Linked DNA regions of Tribolium castaneum. The protein of the gene in region 1 purifies or fractionates together with the protein of each later gene. This does not show direct contact. Links are inferred from orthologs where the notes say so. Each region holds a gene or a part of one and is shown in the gene's direction. Other genes may lie near its edges.

What was found.
Region 2: the proteins of trbd (region 1) and Slmap purify together in Homo sapiens (affinity purification with mass spectrometry; 3 studies listed by BioGRID and IntAct, with this or other methods). This does not show direct contact. The link is inferred for Tribolium castaneum from reciprocal best matches to the Homo sapiens genes ZRANB1 and SLMAP.
Region 3: the proteins of trbd (region 1) and Ufd4 purify together in Homo sapiens (affinity purification with mass spectrometry; 5 studies listed by BioGRID and IntAct, with this or other methods). This does not show direct contact. The link is inferred for Tribolium castaneum from reciprocal best matches to the Homo sapiens genes ZRANB1 and HECTD1.
Region 4: the proteins of trbd (region 1) and Naus purify together in Homo sapiens (affinity purification with mass spectrometry; 4 studies listed by BioGRID and IntAct, with this or other methods). This does not show direct contact. The link is inferred for Tribolium castaneum from reciprocal best matches to the Homo sapiens genes ZRANB1 and CTTNBP2NL.

What each region holds. Positions count from the first base shown.
Region 1 is NC_087395.1:24,403,769-24,407,367, reverse strand, and holds the end of trbd (ubiquitin thioesterase trabid), read left to right. Parts: intron 1-1,329; coding exon 1,330-1,810; intron 1,811-1,858; coding exon 1,859-2,007; intron 2,008-2,061; coding exon 2,062-2,140; 3' UTR 2,141-2,772; downstream 2,773-3,599. Other genes in the region: Cht10 (chitinase 10), read right to left, coding at 3,450-3,599. UniProt on the Homo sapiens protein: Ubiquitin thioesterase, which specifically hydrolyzes 'Lys-29'-linked and 'Lys-33'-linked diubiquitin. Also cleaves 'Lys-63'-linked chains, but with 40-fold less efficiency compared to 'Lys-29'-linked ones.
Region 2 is NC_087399.1:2,655,621-2,660,783, reverse strand, and holds the start of Slmap (sarcolemmal membrane-associated protein), read left to right. Parts: upstream 1-2,099; 5' UTR 2,100-2,239; exon of another isoform or gene 2,240-2,345; 5' UTR 2,346-2,439; coding exon 2,440-2,718; intron 2,719-2,764; coding exon 2,765-2,987; intron 2,988-5,163. Other genes in the region: PRKR-interacting protein 1 homolog, read right to left, coding at 1,233-1,565, 1,614-1,793, 1,839-1,970. UniProt on the Homo sapiens protein: Associates with the striatin-interacting phosphatase and kinase (STRIPAK) core complex, forming the extended (SIKE1:SLMAP)STRIPAK complex.
Region 3 is NC_087402.1:10,959,879-10,964,466, reverse strand, and holds part of Ufd4 (E3 ubiquitin-protein ligase Ufd4), read left to right. Parts: coding exon 1-1,025; intron 1,026-3,048; coding exon 3,049-3,289; intron 3,290-3,343; coding exon 3,344-4,588. UniProt on the Homo sapiens protein: E3 ubiquitin-protein ligase which accepts ubiquitin from an E2 ubiquitin-conjugating enzyme in the form of a thioester and then directly transfers the ubiquitin to targeted substrates.
Region 4 is NC_087403.1:7,346,061-7,351,287, reverse strand, and holds Naus (CTTNBP2 N-terminal-like protein), read left to right. Parts: upstream 1-2,089; 5' UTR 2,090-2,303; coding exon 2,304-2,477; intron 2,478-2,529; coding exon 2,530-2,631; intron 2,632-2,680; coding exon 2,681-3,214; intron 3,215-3,264; coding exon 3,265-3,425; intron 3,426-3,555; coding exon 3,556-3,719; intron 3,720-3,768; coding exon 3,769-3,854; intron 3,855-4,349; coding exon 4,350-4,721; 3' UTR 4,722-4,750; coding exon of another isoform or gene 4,751-4,778; 3' UTR 4,779-5,130; downstream 5,131-5,227. UniProt on the Homo sapiens protein: Regulates lamellipodial actin dynamics in a CTTN-dependent manner. Associates with core striatin-interacting phosphatase and kinase (STRIPAK) complex to form CTTNBP2NL-STRIPAK complexes.

The sequences.
Region 1 (3,599 bases):
TTTTTTTTTTCAATATTTCTAATGTCAGCTAAATAAATATTGAAATCTCATCCATTGTTAAGGAGCACTAGAGTCATCTTTTACTTATCTTTGGTTAACTTTTTTTACAAAAAATAAATAAACCTTATCTAAAATTTCATTACATGTGCTTTTAAGTCTGTAACTAAATTTACTAAAGTTGAAGTTTAAAGAATCTAATTCTGTCATATAATTTATCCGTTGGTCGTTTTTGAGATTTAATTTATCCTATGACTGTTTTATATAACTTGCATATTAACATTAATAATTAGAAAATTCATTCGCAAACAAAAACAACATTGAAGCATCATTTATTTCATGTCATTAGAAATATTAAAGAGAGATTATTTATGTGCTTTCCACCAACTTTTTGTGCAATTAAAGAAGTTCAATAAAATTATTTTTATTTTATTTTTTTTGGTAAAATTATAATTATCTTTAAAATATGTATTTTCAAACATCCGACTTGCTCTAAAACGTGTGCCTTGCAAAAATATTTATCGCATTATTTATACTAACCAAGTACATGATAAAGAGCCTTTTGTAGATCTCGCTTAAATTAAATATTTTATCATAAATGGAATTTTTTCCCTTTTTTTTTTAGAATATTATTGCTTTAATAGCAGGCCACATTTTCAAAGTATTTTTCTATAAATGTGTTCCTTGCCAAGTAGGAAATTTCGTTTTCGTTGTCAAGTCATTCAATTTTTTACAATTTTTTGTTAATAAATGGTTAACACACTCATTGTTTTCTACATATTTCAACTATTATTGATTGTTCCATATCGCTTAAGCTTTTATGAGAAATACAATTTTTAATTTTTGATTAATTCAAATCCTAATATAATTTTTAATACATTCATGTTCTTTGCCTCAGTTATTATTTTTTGTGGAACAAATTAAACAATATTTATATCGAGTTATTTTTTCTATAACTCAAGAATCAACTCTAGAAGATTTTAATTCAATTTTTTTTTCTCCTAGTAGTATAATCATATGATCAAATCTCCCACACCACGCAATCAAATAAAAAACGTCAAATTGTAGAATATCACATTAATGCACGTCTTTACAATTTAACAAATTTGCCTTTTTTTAGATACTTTCAGTGATATTTTATTTTGCCACAGATTTCAGTGGTGCTTTTAATTATTATATTCCACAATCTTTAGATTCTGTGGTTGCGGTTTAGCTCGCTCTTAGGTCGAGTTGTATAAAAAATTCCTCTTCTTTAATCCCGCTTTATTAACTCATAGCGACGATTATTACAAGAATTTTAAATCAGGATTTTTTACTTTTGCTTTTGTCCAGGTTTTACCCCCGATGGAAGGAGTACGAGGCAAGTCAGGCCTCCTTCCTCCAGTACTCCCTGGACGAGGCGCAGTGGGACGAGGACTGGACGAGTTTGTTGTCGCTGGCCAGCCAGCCGGGGACTAGTTTAGAACAATTGCACGTTTTTACCTTAGCTCATATTTTGCGCCGCCCTATAATCGTATACGGAGTGAAATACGTGAAGAGTTTCCGCGGCGAGGCGCTCGGTTACGCCCGCTTCGAGGGCGTGTACTTGCCCCTGCTGTGGGAGCAGAGCTTCTGCGTACGCACACCCATCGCCCTGGGCTACACCCGCGGCCACTTCTCGGCCCTGGTCCCGCTGGAGCCGTACAGCAGGCTAGACACGCGGCCGTCGCCCCAGCACTCGAACATCGGCGCCGACCAGCTGCAGAGCACCTTCCTGCCGCTGATGGACCGGGACCGGAAGCTGCTCCCCATCCACTTCCTCACCGAATCTGAGGTAGGCCGTTGTCAGTGTGCGAATTTTTGTGACGGTTTGATTGGTTAGTTGGGCCGCGAAGAGACGATCCTGCGCCAATGGCTGGACGTGTGCGAGACGGAGGGCGGGATCTTGGTGGCTCAACAGCTGCTGCACAAGCGCCCTCTGCTAGTTGCTCAAATGGTCGAGGAATGGCTGAACCACTACCGCCGCTTGATGTAAGTAGGCGTTGGCGTCTAGGCGGAGCTTGCGATCTGATTGGTTGCTTGCAGTCAGATGACGTCGGCTCCGTTCGCTCGACCAATCCCCATTCAGGATTATTTGAGCGAGTATGACACCGACGACGAATAGCGAAGGTTTAAAGGTCGTGTCGAAGCGACGCGATGCGTAGACGGTGACTAGGTATAGGTTAGGTTGAGCCGGAATTGCACAGCGTCAGTAGTGGGAATTGATCTGATTTAAAATTATTTGTTTTTACTTTTTGTTTCTCTTCAAGGGCAGATTTCTTCCTCTTGCCTATGCAGATATTGTATAGATTTTCCCGTGGGTAGGATATATTTATTTTTATAGATAGCTCAAGTACAAATAAATTGCTAAAAATCTATATTTATTTCACTGCGTGTGGGTTTGAAGGGAGCTGACGAACCCGTTTTTGTGATGATGTGCTTTATTTTTATTTTATTTGTATATGGAAGATGTTGGTTGGATATATTATTGTTCTGTTGGGTTGTTGATATCATTTCTTGTTGTGCTGTGAATTATCTCAATGCGGAAATTTATGCAAATGTATGGTTTTTAATAACAAATACAAAAAAGTCAAATTACTTCTAACTTTTCTTAGATAGAACAAGTTTCAAAATAGAGTCTTAAAATGTGAAATACTTACGAAATTTATTATACATAATTATATTGCATTGTTAACACACTGTTATAAAAAATATATATTATAAATAGAAAATAAAGCGTTTAAAATTATTGCATAACAACTGCCTTTCATTACACCCACCTCCTTTTCCCTATCTAAAAACACTAAAATTGCGGCAAAAAATATTGAGACCACTACGAAGGTGGTCTATCAACTATCAAGAGACTAAGATCACAAGAACACGAAAAGTTTTTAAACAACTACCACTTCCTAAAGTCGACTTTCTTTCTACAACTAATATTATGGAATCTCATGGAAGTAACCAAAAGCTGAGAGTGTACATACAGTAACTCTTTAGTATTAGACCACCATACTTACAAAATAAATCACGAAACCTTGTTTAATTTGATTTAAAATAAATGACCCGGCGCATCCACCATTTTTTCAATGTGAAGAAAATTCGCAAATGTTTTAAATAATAAAGTAAAATGGTTTCAAACGTGTGTTATTCTTACATAACCTTGAAAATGTGGGCCAAATACCTTCCAGTTTTATTGCTTATGTTGGCTTTAGAAAAAGACCTGGAGCAACCACCATTTCTGCCGAAGATTCTGGGAGAAATTATGTATTTTAAATCTGCTTTTGTATTAATAAAAAAAGGAAAATGTTTTAAAACGTGTTTTATTCTTACACAACCTTAAAAATACATAGGAAACCGAAAAAATATTATCGTATCCTTTTCGCCGTCGTGACGACTCAAAGAAGAGAAATATTTCATATAAGCATCAATCACACTTAAGTACAATTAGTCACGCTGATATCAGAGGGCGTCCCTCTCAACTCATTGTTTAAAGTCTTCAAGAGCGGGTGTTTGCCACACCCACACCTGTTCTTAAAATCGTCCAAATCCAAAGCCCAGACCATGCCCCCGCCCAGTTTCAACGC
Region 2 (5,163 bases), on another chromosome or scaffold:
TCGTCATTACTTGCGTCCCAGACTGTACTTTGGACCAGCGACAGCCCCCTTGAGCCCCGCCAAAAGCGCGACAGGCAGTCCAGCCGCCGATTGGGCAAAGGGGGGCGGGTTTAATGACCGCTACCGCGGAAAATTGTCTCGGAAAATGGCATTTTCCCGTTTTGTGGCCTTTTAGACAAAATCAATATCGGCCATTTTGCTTTGGCCAATGTCAATTCGTCTGGGATTTCCGCCGGATAGGCGGCTGTGAAAGTGATAAAGGGGAAATTTTACTTACAAGGTGTGATAAAGTGATTATCCAAGACACTATTTCACTGCGATTTGGTTAAAAGGCGATAACAGAGACACTGGACACTTGTAACGGTCGCGAACACTGGCGATACGAAATGACAAAACTGCGTGAGTAAGAGCAGTATTGCCAACGGATGGGGAATTTGGGGAAAGTTTAGGGGGAAAGGCTGCGGAAAGGCTAGGCGAGCAACACAAAATACAAATTCGCACAAATAGTACACTTTTTACTTTTCATTACTTTAAAAAAGCACAATTTGTGATTTTTTACGGTTTTTCAAAGTATGAAAATCCCAGTGACAGTGCTAGTGACAAGTAATGACAAACATAGCACGCTTAATTAATATTTTTTTTCACTATTATGCAATTTTCTGTAACAAAGATTAATTAAACATCATAAAAACATAGATTTTTGTTTCATTTAGATAAAAATATTTCGTACAAATTTTAATAATTTCACATTTTTGGTGGAGGCGCCGGGCTAGAAATATTTTTTAAAAGTTGTGTCACTATGATAGTTTTGAACAAAATGGGTTTTGAACACATGCTTTGAATTAGAAATTAACGCTGAAAGCAACTCAAACAGTTATATCACCATTTTACGTTACAAATTTTTTTTAAATAAAAAAATTAGGGGACTGAGAGAGGTAGGACTACGGAGATTTAAAGGCTAGGATACGAAGCCACCTACAAATAAAACGTTCCTCTCCCTGATAGTTCCGTTAAGGTCGCTAGAGAACGCAGTTGTTTTCATAAGAATGGGCAATCAATTAAAAAAAAAGGTTTTATTTGTTTTATTGTTAGCACATAGCATACAAAAAATACGTAAATAGTACGACTTATGTATCTCGTTTCGTCTCATAAGTTACAGTTCTCCATAGAAAAGGCATGATCAAATAATAACAAAAAACAGGCAAATAATTAAAAATACGTTTATTTGGTTTTTATTTAATTTCGTCATTAGTGTTATCAGGAGTTTCTTTTGGTGCGTCTTCTTTTCCACCCTCCTTCCGATCTTCTGTATTTTCTTCCTTTGTAGGCTTACTGTCTTCACTTGGCGTTTGTTCTTCGTTCTTTTTCTCACATTCTTCACTTTCAACTTCTTCACTGCTACTACTGTCGGTTGCTTCACTTTGTGAAGACTTACTGCCTAACTTCGGCTTTTTTTTCATTTTTTGCTTTTTCTTTAGTCGTTTCTGTCTCTTCTTCGCCGTCCTTTCCTCCGCTTTCCTCCTGTTTTCTTCAAGTTTGGCATGATATTCGTTATCCAACTTTTCCTAAAGACTTTTTTCAAAAATAACGAAGGCATAATTCAAATTAATTACCCTTTCGCCCTTTTCTTTCATGTATCTTTGTCTCGCGTACTCTTTTCTCCTTAAGTGTCTATAGACGTGGAACTCCCCAGAACCAGCCCCAGCGCTGCTCCCCATGACATTACGTACAAAATCAGGCACCACGGGAACCCCCCGCTCTTTGGGCCTTTCGGGGATGATCACCTCTTTCTCCTACACAATTTATAACAATGCTAACAACTCTCAGGGGCCACTTACCGGGTTTTTCATCAGTTTTTCCAGTTTGAGTCTTTGCAAGTCCGTGGAGTTGCGTATGACTATGGGCTTGTGGTCGCGCTCGATTTCCATATCGGGGCTGCTATCGCGGTCCCCCGGTGTGTTTTTTGCCATTTTTTTCAAGTTTTTGTCGTTAAAGTAACCTAACTTTCTGTTTACGAATCGTTTGACGTGAAATTAGGTGGTGAAAGGTCAGAGGTGCCACTCTGGTGAAAGGCGAAAATCCCTAACACAGCCTTGTCTTTGTGCTCGAAAATGTCACTGCGCGATAAAAACTTGCAATAAATTTGGTAAAAAACCCCTCGTAAAAAATGTAAATCCCGTGCGTGGTGTCGGTGCGATCGAACTGGTCCGATTCGGGTGCAAAAAATGTGGTAGAATTGGTACGATTTGCGTTAGTTCTTGAGCTAGTTTCACGCCCACAAATTTTGACATATCTTCACCCAGTAAATGAAAATCGCTCTAAAACCCCAAATCGTTGCGTTTTAGGTGAGTTGGTTGTGTTGTAGCGCGTTGTGGAGTGTCAGTGTGCTGCTTTGGTCGGCTGTCAATTAATCTCGTTGCCCCCACTTGACCCCAGGCGATGGTCGTTGTAAGCGGGATCTGGGTGAAGAATGTGGCCGCATACCCAACCCCCATGGTAAAGAGCAGCAACGCCAAGATGCTCGCCAAAGCCGTGCTCATCTGCCGCCCCAACTCGCACCCCTTCCAGGAGCGCACCCTTCTGCTGGACCAGCCGGTCAAGGTGGGGCGCTCGGTGGCGAAGGCCAAAGCCACCTGCGCCAACGCCATCTTCGACTGCAAGGTGCTGTCCAGGCACCATGCGGTGCTCTGGTACGAGAACGGGAAGTTTTACCTTCAGGTAGGGCCCCCTTGGGAGTGAGTTGTGACTAAAGTCCCCGGTTTAGGACACGAAGAGCAGCAACGGGACTTTCGTCAACAATAATCGCCTGGTGGCCGAGACGGAGCACCATGAGGTCAGTTCGGGGGACATTGTCCAGTTTGGGGTCGATGTCATTGAAAACAACAAGAAGGTGACCCATGGGTGCATTATCGCAACGCTTAAACTGTACATGCCTGATGGGAGGGAGGCCAAAGCCAGCCCCAGCATCGTCGAAAATAACACTGATGGTAATTGACTTGTAATTGATATTTCTTGTTTGACGTAAGAATGATAACGATAAAAGCCCAGTTTTTATTTAAAAAAAATAAACACATAATAAGGTGGAAAACGGCTCATTTTGAACCCAATTTTGATTAATTGCTCGGACTTGTAGTGATTTTTGTCGTTTTGGAGTTGGGCCAAGTCGGCAAATACTAGACTGTTTTTTTACTATTATTATTTGAATTCGGAAGGTTAAGTGGGACCACCCGTTTTTGTGCTATTTTTAACACTACATTTAAATGAAAAAATTAAACACTGTTCCGGAAAGCCTCCAAATTTTTTACCAACAATATTAAACAAATTGGTATTTCTCTTTTGTTTATAATTTGTATTTTAAAAAATCTAAATTATGTACATACTATTTTTATTTCACAACGTTTAAAAGTCAAGGAAAGTTTCTGTTGCGCATTACATTCGACTCATACAAGATGAGTTTGTTAAAAGATTTTTTTTTCTGTATCTCAATAACTAAATAACACGTTTGCTATTTTGTGTTTGGAATTTTTTTTCCAATTACGACAAATATATATGTAAAATTGTTTGATGTAAATTTATGTAAAATGATCCGCTGAATCGATTGGCGTCAAGAAAATCGCAAAATTCCCAACAGTTTTTTAGATATGAATTTTTTAAAATTTTACCTATTTTTGCTTTTATTTCCAGTTTTCTCGAAAACTGTTAGTCGGAGAACAGTAGTCTTTTTGAAAAAGATAGATAATTAAAAGAGCTTTCCAACGATAATACACTTCATGGGGTTATCTCTAATAGTTCCGGAGCTATTGCTCGAGAAATGTTCCGGGTACCCGAAATCGACCAAAATCGCGACAAAAATTGAAAAAATCAAACATCAAAAAATTGAACATATGGACTTTTTGTGGACTTTTAACAACAATTTTTAACAATTTTTTTTTCATCTCTTTGAAGGTACAAGAATACTCAGGAAATTTGAGCAAAAAAATAGAAAATTTTAAATTGCGTGAAAAATTAGTATAATAAAGGAAAAAAGCCGCTGAATCCAATGGAACAAACCGCACTTCTCTACGACTTTTAGTTTTCGAGTTATGAATTTTTTTAATGAATAAAATTTTTCACTATGACAAATGGCTACCCTAAATTTAGGCAAAAATTTTTAAATTTTTAATTCTTGTGAAAAATCGATATAATATGTAAAATGAGCCGTAGAATTCAACCGAACAAACCGCAATGCTCTACGACTTTTAGTTTTTTTTTTATGAATTTTTTTAGTGAAAAACTTTGATCGCCTCTGTAGCCGGAACCGTTGCCCGGAGCGGCTCCGGGTTTGGTCGAGAAATTAGACAAAATTAAGCGCTATCAGATGGTTTTTTGTTCGTTGCTCTAAGTCTTACAGTTTCCGAGAAAAACGCAAAAAAAGGTTTCCATTTTCACTTTTTTTCAATTTTTAATCGCCAATTACGGCGAAACTATTAAAGATATAGAGAAACGGAAAAATGGAGGATAACCGGAATAAAAAACTCTACAAAATGGCATAGGACTTAAGGCGATATCTCGCAAAAAAAATTTCAATTTTCAAACGCCGATTACGGCCAAACTAAAAGAGCTAGAAGAAAACGGTTTGTTCGATCGTAAAGAGCACATCAAAATCTATAGGATAGAATAGGTTTTATTTGATTTTGAGACACTTTAAAAATTGACCAATTTTAAGGGGGGGGTGTTAACTTTTTTTTAATTTTTTTTATTTTCTCATTTACGGCTAAACTATTGTAAAAAGTGGAACTGTTTTGATCCATATCTATGCAAAATGATCCGGGGAATCGATTGGCATCGAGAAAATTGCCAAATTCCCAATAGTTTTTTAGTTATGAATTTTTTAAAATTTTACCAATTTTTGCATTTAGCAGCAATTTGCTCGAAAACTATTAGTCGGAGAACAATAATCTTTTTTGAAAAAAATAGATAATTTAAAGAGCTTTCCAACGATAATACACTTGATGGGGTTATCTCTAATAGTTCCGGAGCTATTGCTCGAGAAATGTTCCGGGTACCCGAAATCGACCAAAATCGCGACAAAAATTGAAAAAATCAAACATCAAAAAATTGAACATATGGACTTTTTGTGGACTTTTAACAACTTTAGTGAGTTGTTAAGACATATAGAAGTCC
Region 3 (4,588 bases), on another chromosome or scaffold:
TCGCGAAGGTTCGGACATGTTACGTAACAACACGAATAATTTCCTGTCCGGTGAGTTACTACAAACCGCTTTGAGTCTAGGCCAGACTAGCCAACAATCAATAAGCTCTCTAAATACAGGTGTACGCATTTCGGTATCAGGTAATCCCGAAACCGATGAAGAAAAACCAGTTCGGAGGAAACCCGACGAACCATCAACAACTAAAGATCCATGCAGCGAAAAAGACGAAGTTACGAATAATGCCCGAAACACGAGTAATAACACAATCGTTGTGACAAACCCGATGAGTGTTAGTGTTCCAAATTTGACTTCGACAGAAGCCAATAGTCAAATCGAGCCAACTTCAACCGCTGGTCTTTTAGAAACGTTTGCAGCTTTAGCGAGACGACGAACTTTGGGTTCGGTCACCACGACGAACAGTTCGAACGCAAACCCGAATAATTCGGGCGCTATAACAAATTCCAACGCACAGAATAATCAGAATACGGGTTCTTTGTTTCCGAGAGGACCGAATTCGGTGTCGAGTTTGGTGCGGCTTGCTTTATCGAGTAATTTTCCTGGAGGTTTGCTTAGTACAGCTCAAAGTTATCCTAGTTTATCATCGAGTAATAACACAGCAGCTCAACAAGGGGGAATTTCGACGACTGCAGGGACGGTGCAAGGGTTGAGTCAAGCGTTGACGATGAGTCTAACGTCGACGAGCAGCGACAGCGAACAGGTGTCACTTGAGGATTTTTTGGAATCGTGTCGTGCGCCGACGCTTCTTGCTGAGTTGGACGACGATGAGGAGATGGGCGATGAAGATGATAACGACGATGATGAAAATGAAGACGACGCCGATTATGACGAAGTCATGGTTTCGAGGAATTTGTTGTCGTTTATGGAGGAAGAAGGGTTTGAAACGAGTTCAAGGCCGAGTAAGAGGCGATCATGGGATGATGAGTATGTGCTGAAAAGGCAATTTTCGGCTTTAATTCCCGCGTTTGATCCGAGACCGGGAAGGACTAACGTCAATCAGACTACAGGTATGTTATTATTTTTTACAGGACATTTGCTTGAACCATGATGTAAAATTACATTAACACTACAAGAGATTCTTTAAAGGATTCTGATTGATTAACTCGTCACTGTTTTTATAAAATGACTTTTCTCGCCTGGAATTTGTCAAGTTCAAATGATTCCCGTTTTGAACGCTACAGTTTCGGGCACATTTGTCAAACTCTGTCTTGTGTATCTTGTTTTGTTGTTTTCATTGGTTTTGTTTTGGATCATTAATTAATTAGCACAATAGCAACTCCCAAAACCGTGAATCTCCGTTTCAATGCATTATTTACAAAATATCCAGCAGGCGGGATTTGGATACATTTTATTAAGAAATATTTGACATACAACCCCACAAGATTGTTGAATTATTGTTAATTTGATGTGTATACTTCATTCGAATCTTTTAAAATTTAAATTCAGTGTTGTCAACAGGCACAGTATTTCTGGATCAGTCTGTAGATTAGATTTTTCAATAAAATAAAATAAACAAAATTTAAATAATCATCTGGTACACTAAATTGCCTACAAGTCTTAAAATTTGTTTAGATATTTTATCGGGTATAAACTGTTCGGAAAAAACTTAGGTATTTAATATACAGGGTGTAACGAAAAGATGGGGACAACGGAATCAGTTTTTTTCTTATTGTAAAATAGATACTACCTATCAATAATTTAACACATTTTGGGGCATGTTTTTATTATACGTTATCTGAATGGCTTAATTATTCAATTTATTTAAAATTTATTATTTTTGTCTCTCATAAAGTAGTATTCACAGTTGTGAATTTAAAAAAAAAATCGATTTTAACCCAATATAACTAATTAAATTACACTGTCGTTTTGTAAAATTTAACTGTTACAACATTAAATAATAATTTACTCAAAAACAGCAAAAAATGTGTGTGGTAACAAAATAAGTAAATGATTAAAAGCATGAGTCACCTGTACTATCTCAAAAATTAAAACTGATAGAAAAAATCTTTTGGCAGTTTTGAAATCATCGACCAACAATTACTTCATAGTAAAAAATCAGAGATAACTGTCAACTAATTGGCGACACTTGACACTTTTTAAATTATACTTTTATTCCAAAATCATGATCATGATGCAATAATTTATCATATAAAAATTGTTTAAAATTAATGGCCGTTTCGAATAAAAAATTGGTGCCGCTTGGATGACAAAAATATAGCTTTGAACGTTTAATGTTGTTAATAAGTACTTTACCATAACCAAAAAAAAGCAAAGGAAATAGACCCAAAACATGTGGTTTTAATCGTAAATTATTTTTATTAAATTTCATGAAAAACTCTTATTCTATTAAGAAGTTATTAAAGAAAATCGAAAATATCTATAACTTTTAAACGGTAAGTTGCGCTTTATTTTGATCTGGGAAATATCTGGTTCTCTTTTGTCCCTGTCTTTACGTTACATACTGTATTCCACGGTATCATCTACATTTTGAAATTATACGTTTATAAAGATCATATTTTTTACTAGAAGATTTTGCTGATCATTTCACAGAGACTTTTTTAGTTTTTTTATTAAAAAAATTCACAACTCTAAAACGACACGTCTTATAACAAAGCGGTTTGTTCCATCGAATTCTACGGATTATTTTACGTATCACACTTAGGTTTGCCGATTGTTTGCCGTAATTGAGAAAATAAAAAAATTGAAAATTTTTCAGAGAAACAATATTTGGATTTTTGAAATTATTTGCCTAAAATTATAGTGGTCGTTTCACAGAGGCACTACAATCTAGAACGGCTTGCTAGTAGTTCTGTATTGTAATCTGTAATATACTTTTTCTGGTTTATGTGCAGTATAAAGTATAATTAAAAATTCTCTAAACTAAATTTTTCGGTGAATGGAAAATAAATACACGGGGAAAAATACTGCGTTATCGACTTACGCCTTAATCTCTGCTCCTTGCGAATTAACAATTCAATTTCATTCTCTTGCATAAAAAATGACAATTTTCTTTATTTACAATTAATGCAGATTTGGAAGTACCACCGCCTGGACAAGAAGAAAACGGTTCTTATTTAGAACACGAATTGTTGCCACAACCGAAATTGCAACTAGTGTTGAGGGGTCCAAATATGCCGGGAATTCCCGACGTTGAAATCGAATTAAACGATCCGTCTTGGACCATATTTAGAGCGGTTCAAGAGTTGATGCAAATGACCGAATTCGGTTCAAAACAAGAGAAACTGAGACGGATTTGGGAACCCACATATATGTAAGTTAATTCCATGCTAAAATGTTTCAATTATTTATTATTTCGTGTTTAAAGAATTGTATATCGCGAATTAAAAGACGATGGAACTTACGATTCGGAAGAGGGTCGTGCCACTCCTGTTGTCCTTTATTCCCGAAGTGGAAGTAGTTCAGTTGCTGGTACCACCCTTTCACCCAGTACTCCTGTTCCTGGAACACCATCAGTCTCAAATTGTACCGTCGAAGACGTCCTTCAGTTACTACGTCATCTTTTTGTAATCACAACAACAAAAGAGAACGATTTGAATTCGTTAGACAACAACATCGAAATCACTCCCGACCAATATACTAGCAAAAAGATCACAAACAAGCTATTGCAACAAATCCAAGACCCGTTGGTACTGTCGAGTTCTAGTTTACCGGCATGGTGTGAAGAGTTGAATCATTCGTGTCCGTTTTTATTCCCGTTCGAAACTCGCCACTTGTATTTCAATTGTACCGCATTTGGAGCGTCTCGAAGTATAGTCTGGTTGCAAACCCAGCGTGATGTCACAATGGAAAGGCAAAGAACCACGGGTTTGTCACCACGTCGCGACGAACCACATGAGTTTAGAGTAGGGCGTTTGAAACACGAAAGGGTGAAAGTTCCTAGAGGTGAAGAGATTCTGAGTTGGGCAATGCAAGTTATGAAAATCCATTCGGATAGAAAATCAATACTTGAAGTAGAGTTTTTGGGAGAGGAAGGTACAGGACTGGGCCCAACTTTAGAATTCTATGCTTTGGTCGCTGCCGAATTACAGAGGAGGGATTTAGGGATGTGGATTTGTGACGATGATGCCATTGATATGCAAGAAATTGTTGATCTAGGTGAGGGTGTTAAACCTCCCGGATACTACGTGCGGCGAGTGTCGGGTCTATTCCCTGCACCTTTGCCGCAAAATTCTGAAATTTGTGATAAGGCCGTTAAGTATTTCTGGTTTTTGGGCGTGTTTCTCGCGAAAGTTTTGCAAGATAATCGTTTAGTTGACTTGCCGTTGAGTCAGAGTTTCTTGAAATTGATGTGTCATGGAGAGATTCAGAACACAGTCAATGAACGGATTGGATTTGCGGGTGTTAAAAAATCGAGCGAGGATGATATTATGACTTCGAGTTTGATCTCGGAAGAGAGTGAGAAAGAGTTGGAGTTGGATCCGCCTAAAATGATTATTGAGGATAAAAAACCGTGGTATTTGAATATTCTCGGTGAAGAGGATCTCCATGATATTGACTACATCAGAGCGAATTTCTTGAAACAGATTAGGGAATTAGTGAAACAGAAACA
Region 4 (5,227 bases), on another chromosome or scaffold:
ATGGTTTTAGCCATGGGGGTGAAAGTGGGATACGCGCATTGGCAACACGAGAGTATAGGCGAGGGGGGTTTTGCACTCCCGGGGAGATGAAAAGGGACGACCAATGACGACTGCTTATTTTAAAACAAGCGCGTATTTATTAGGGATTTCATTAAATTATATTTTTTGACGTAACAATGACATCTACGCTTGCGCGCAGATCGCACCGAAAATATCGCGCCAAAAGTGTTGTTTTGTCACTCATCGTTCAACGTGTTACCGGAAGTATGTAGCAATTATTTGTTTAATCGTTTAATCAAAGCAAAAATTCTGATTACAGTTCGTTAGTGAGTCAATTCCTGGTGTTGAGCGCCGACCAAAAAGATAAGTATCTCTTATTTTATTAATATAACCTCATCTTTTTGATTGGTGTTTCTTTCTATTTTAAAGGCATTGGTCTGGAGTGACGGATTTTTGATTTCTACTACTCAACTGAACTTTAGTCATGGCTGGTTATCGCAAATATTCCTGCAAATACCCCGGATGCACCAGTGATTATGTTCCCAACAAAGGACAGTCCAATAAGCATTTCTTCACCTTCCCTAAGAATCCAAAGCTTCAAGAATTGTGGAGGAATGCCTGCAAAATTGAGGATCCTGTAAGTTCAAAATTTTGGCGTTTTCGCTATTTAGGGTATTTCAGAATTTACTTTTAAGTTTCTTATTTGCGCTCGAGTGTGTCAGTGCACTGCATGTACCTCCTCGTGGTCGTAGCGTGGGCAACTGTTTGCTGACAGACAAGGTAAAAGTCATTGCAAAGCAGACCTTATTTTGTTTTAAGTCTCGAGCAGACAGGCAAAACATGCCAACACTGACTGATTTAATTTTTTTATAATTTTTGTATAATTAAGAAATAATACAATACTTTAATTTTTTGAAAAATTTAATTTGTTATGTTACTCAAGTGTACAATAAAAATGTTAACAAAATCTGTGTTTTATTACCCCAAAACAACTTTTTTTGTAAGTTTCATTTCAAATTTTGTTTAAAATAAATATAAAACGTTTTCATTTTGTTTAAAATGAAAATATATTTTTTTATTTTAAACAATTTGCAATGAAACTTGTAAGATAAAAATAATAAAAAACAATATAAAAGGAATTTATTCAAACGTGGCACTTTACCGTGGTAGTAACGCACTTCAGCACCAGAGGCGCTGGATTCTCGTGTTGCCAGTGATTTACTAGGGAATTATCACTTCTTAACCCTTTCTGTTCTGTGGTTTTAGCTGCATGGCGGCAGCGATTGTCTGGTCGACTCTAATGTTCATGGTGCCAGCACCGTTTTTGGTGCTATCTTCTACATTGTATTATTTTTGTATTACGCAACATGTATTTTTCTATTGATAATAATATTAATAATTAATAACGCGAGTGACGCTATGCAGAGAATATGGAACTAGAAGGATCCAGTTTTTATGTCGACATTGAGCCATAGATTATAGATATTTAGTGGCTGTAGATTGGCGACTCTGCCGTCCCCACCACAAATTGTACATTCTAGTTACTGGTAATGTCACGTAAGCGCTAGTTAAATCGCTTGGAGGGAAATTCAAACCCATCCGGTATTTGACAATTCTATCAAATATATTTGAACAAAAACACAGTTTTACACCCGACACACGAAACTTTGGGTTTTACATGTCGCATAAATCAGCATAAATCAGTGTCGGTTGTAAAAATGTGCTTTTGTTCATCCAAGTGCGTGACGCATGTGTTCAACAGACGCCTTAAGATACAATTAAGTATCGAAGGGTTGCGACAAATTTAATAGTTTCATTGATTCTGTGTTCCATCACAACCAGAGACACACCATTTTAACAGTACTCAAGTGTGAACCGTTGGAGACGGCAAACAACAAATTTTTTAAATGATTAAGACAGTAATATATTTTATCTCTCTTGATTGCTTGTCAGCGCTTCGGTGATGTTACCACTAACTAACATCCCCACTCCTGGCTTTTTTTGAAGAGTGAACACTCCCTGATTGAGCGATTGTAATTTTTGGGGAAATTTGCTGTCGTGTGAGCAAAAAATCTTAAGACGAAATTCCCTAAAAGAGGAGTTGTGTTGGTTATGTGAGTATAAATTAATCGATTGTTCACGTTAACCTATAAGAGTGTTTTCCAAGTTGTAAATTGATTGAACGATACGTTTGAAATATAATGTCGATAATAAAACAATTATCGATCGAAAAAATGGTAGATCCTCCGATGTTTTAGCGGAAAAGTCTCTGAAATTAGGGAAGCAGGAAAAAATCCGTCAACATGGCTTCTAATAACAATCAGCAGAATGGATGGTTGAGTGGCTTAGGAATGGGATTTGGGGGCGCCTTAAGTTGTGTTCCGGAACAACAGCAACAACAACAGCCAGGGGCTTCCTCAGATCCAAATCAGTTTGAACAATTAGACAGGACTAGTGTCGGCAGTAATACTCTTAAGGTTGTTCACGTAAAATGTATTGGTCACAATTCTAGTTTTATTTTTCAAACAGAGAAATCCAAAAATGGAGCTATCTAAAAACGATCTTCTTAAATTAGTCACGTATTTTGAAGGTGAGATCCAAGCTAGAGACATCGCGATTGCTACCTTGAAGGTACCCGACTCTCTTTAAGCCTTTTCTACTACTAACTTTTTTTATTTAGTCTGAGAGGTTGAAACAAGTAGTGAATGTAGGACGTTATAGACCCGCTGTGGCGTCTGATCCCTACATAGCTTTACTTAGAGACAGTATTGCCGATGGACCAAATGCAAAACCTGTTGTCAGTGAACAGGAAATGGCTGTTGCAGCTGAACAACAGTTGCAAGCACTAGAACAATTAGCGCTTCAACAAAGACGAGCTCATCAACATATGATAAATATATTAAAAGAAGCCGAAGCAAAACATAGGAAAGTCATACAAGAACTAGAAGAAGAAAAATGTAAACACGAACATGACACTGCTCAAGGTGATGATATTACTTATGGTTTAGAAATGGAGAGGACTAGGTTAAGACAAGAATTGGAAATGGAGAGGTCTGCAAGGAAAAAACTAGAAAAAGAAGTTAAAAAACAATTAGAAATGGCTGACGAAGAAAGAGCAAGACAAAAACAAATTGTTCTGCTTTTGTTGGCTGAAAGGAAAAAAATTATAGTGAAATATATCGAGGAGAGAAAAAGGAGTGAAGATTTAGCACAAGTAATTTAGCTTTAGTGTCTTAATACTGACCAATATTTGCAAAATTTTAGATATTATCTGAAGAAAAGTCAAGGATTGACAGCATGGCTGAAGGTTTAGAGGAAGAAAGCAAAAAATCACTTCAAATGGAGGCTGAACTTGAAAAACAACTACACGTTTTTGAAGCTGACAAAAAATCACTAACTCAACAACTTGCCATTAAGGAAGCTAGGTAAACAATTTTGCCTAATTAAAGATCCTCCAAGCAATCGTGTGCTATTCCACTCGCTGATCGAGTGATCAGTGAATGGCCGTTTTTTGCAGCTTAGCTGGTATGTTAATATATTATTTTTCATCTTTAGATGTCAAGAATTGGAGGCTGAATTACAAAAATTAAAAGCTGATTATGAATTATTAAAAACTCGAACTAACGTATCTTGTGATAGTGCAGCTCCTATGATTAGTAGTGTAGCTAAGGTGGTACAACCGACGGCAACTGTTTCAAGTGTTCCAGTTTCAGGCCCTAGTAATTATATAGTTTTTTTAATTATCTTTTTGCTAATCAATTATTGCAGCCACGGGCATTGCACAGTCTGTAACACCAGGCCAGGCTTTGCGTCAGACAGCAATAGCGCCCCCGGTGCAAATGGCAACAACTAAGGTAATGCCGTTCACCACCAGTGTTGCCAGACTTGATGATTTTCGTCGAAAATTTTCATTTAAACTGTGAAAACTCACGAAATTAACTCTTATTTCAGCTTATTTTGATCGATTTACTTCGTTTTTGAATCAAAAAAGCAGACGATTTTCTTTTACAAAACAAGTAGCCTTGGCTGTTCATTTTTTCAGGCAAATAAGACAAAATCACAAAATTTAGCTAGCCAAAAATGGTGTTTTTTGGAACCCTTTACTAAAATACCTTGTGCATTATTAGAAAGATATAAATGAAAACTTATAATAAGGTGAATATTAGGTGCAACTTTTTCGGGTGTGGTGGATTATAGTATATTTTTGAACTGGCAACACTGTCAAGATACGCTGATAGTAAAGTGACCTGTGACTTTGAAATTAAGTGACATTAGCTATGAAATTCAAACTTCGCAGGCCGCTTTGATAATGAATTAATGAATAAGATTGATCAGATAAAGAATTTCAGTTGATGGCAAATGCGGGCCCTTCAACGCAGCCACCAGTGACTCGATCTCAACCTAAACCAGCATTTCACGCCCAATACCAGTCGCCCTCTGCCCCCCAAACCCCTCCCAAGAAGGGGGCTGTGGCCGGGCGTGGCGTTCCTCCCCCAATTCCCCCAAACAAACCTGTCATTCCCTGCAAACAAACGCCAGCTCGACGACCGGACGGTAACGAATCCGAGAAAAAAAAAACAAGCAGTGCCGGTAATAAGGAAGCAGCGCCATCTTCCGGCGAATCAAGTCGTAGTGGCTCTCAAGGAATAGAAATCTTAGGTCAAGAGCTTGCCGATTTTCAACAAATGTTTGTTACTATGGCAACTAGCAATAATACTTAGGAATAATAATATAATTTATTTGTTGACAGGTTGGGGTCTGACGATAATCAGAATTGACCTCAGAAGTCCACTTCTTATGTGATAATTACAAAATTAAATCTATACTTGAATAGTGCATGAGTTGTTAGAGTTATTTTTTTACTTTGGCACTGCAACTTTAGCCCAGTAACTTTTCTTGGGGCGGAGCAAGACTATGAGACGGCTACGTGTACTAAATTTTAATATAAATCTCTAATTGTGACTGAAATATCTCGTTGTATCATATTTTTCGTGCGAAATTGATGTGTATTGCATTTTATTTAATTAATTATTTTTGCTTTTATATTTAGGGACAAGTATTGTTATCTTGAATTGAGCTACTTAAATTTGGTTGTATTTTTTATACAAAATAAATTTTTTTTTGGTATTATGACTCGCCTGACCATTTATGCAAACCAACAATCTACGTTTAACACTAGTTATGTTTAGAAAAGAAAAATATAAATGTAATAAATAGTAGACAAACT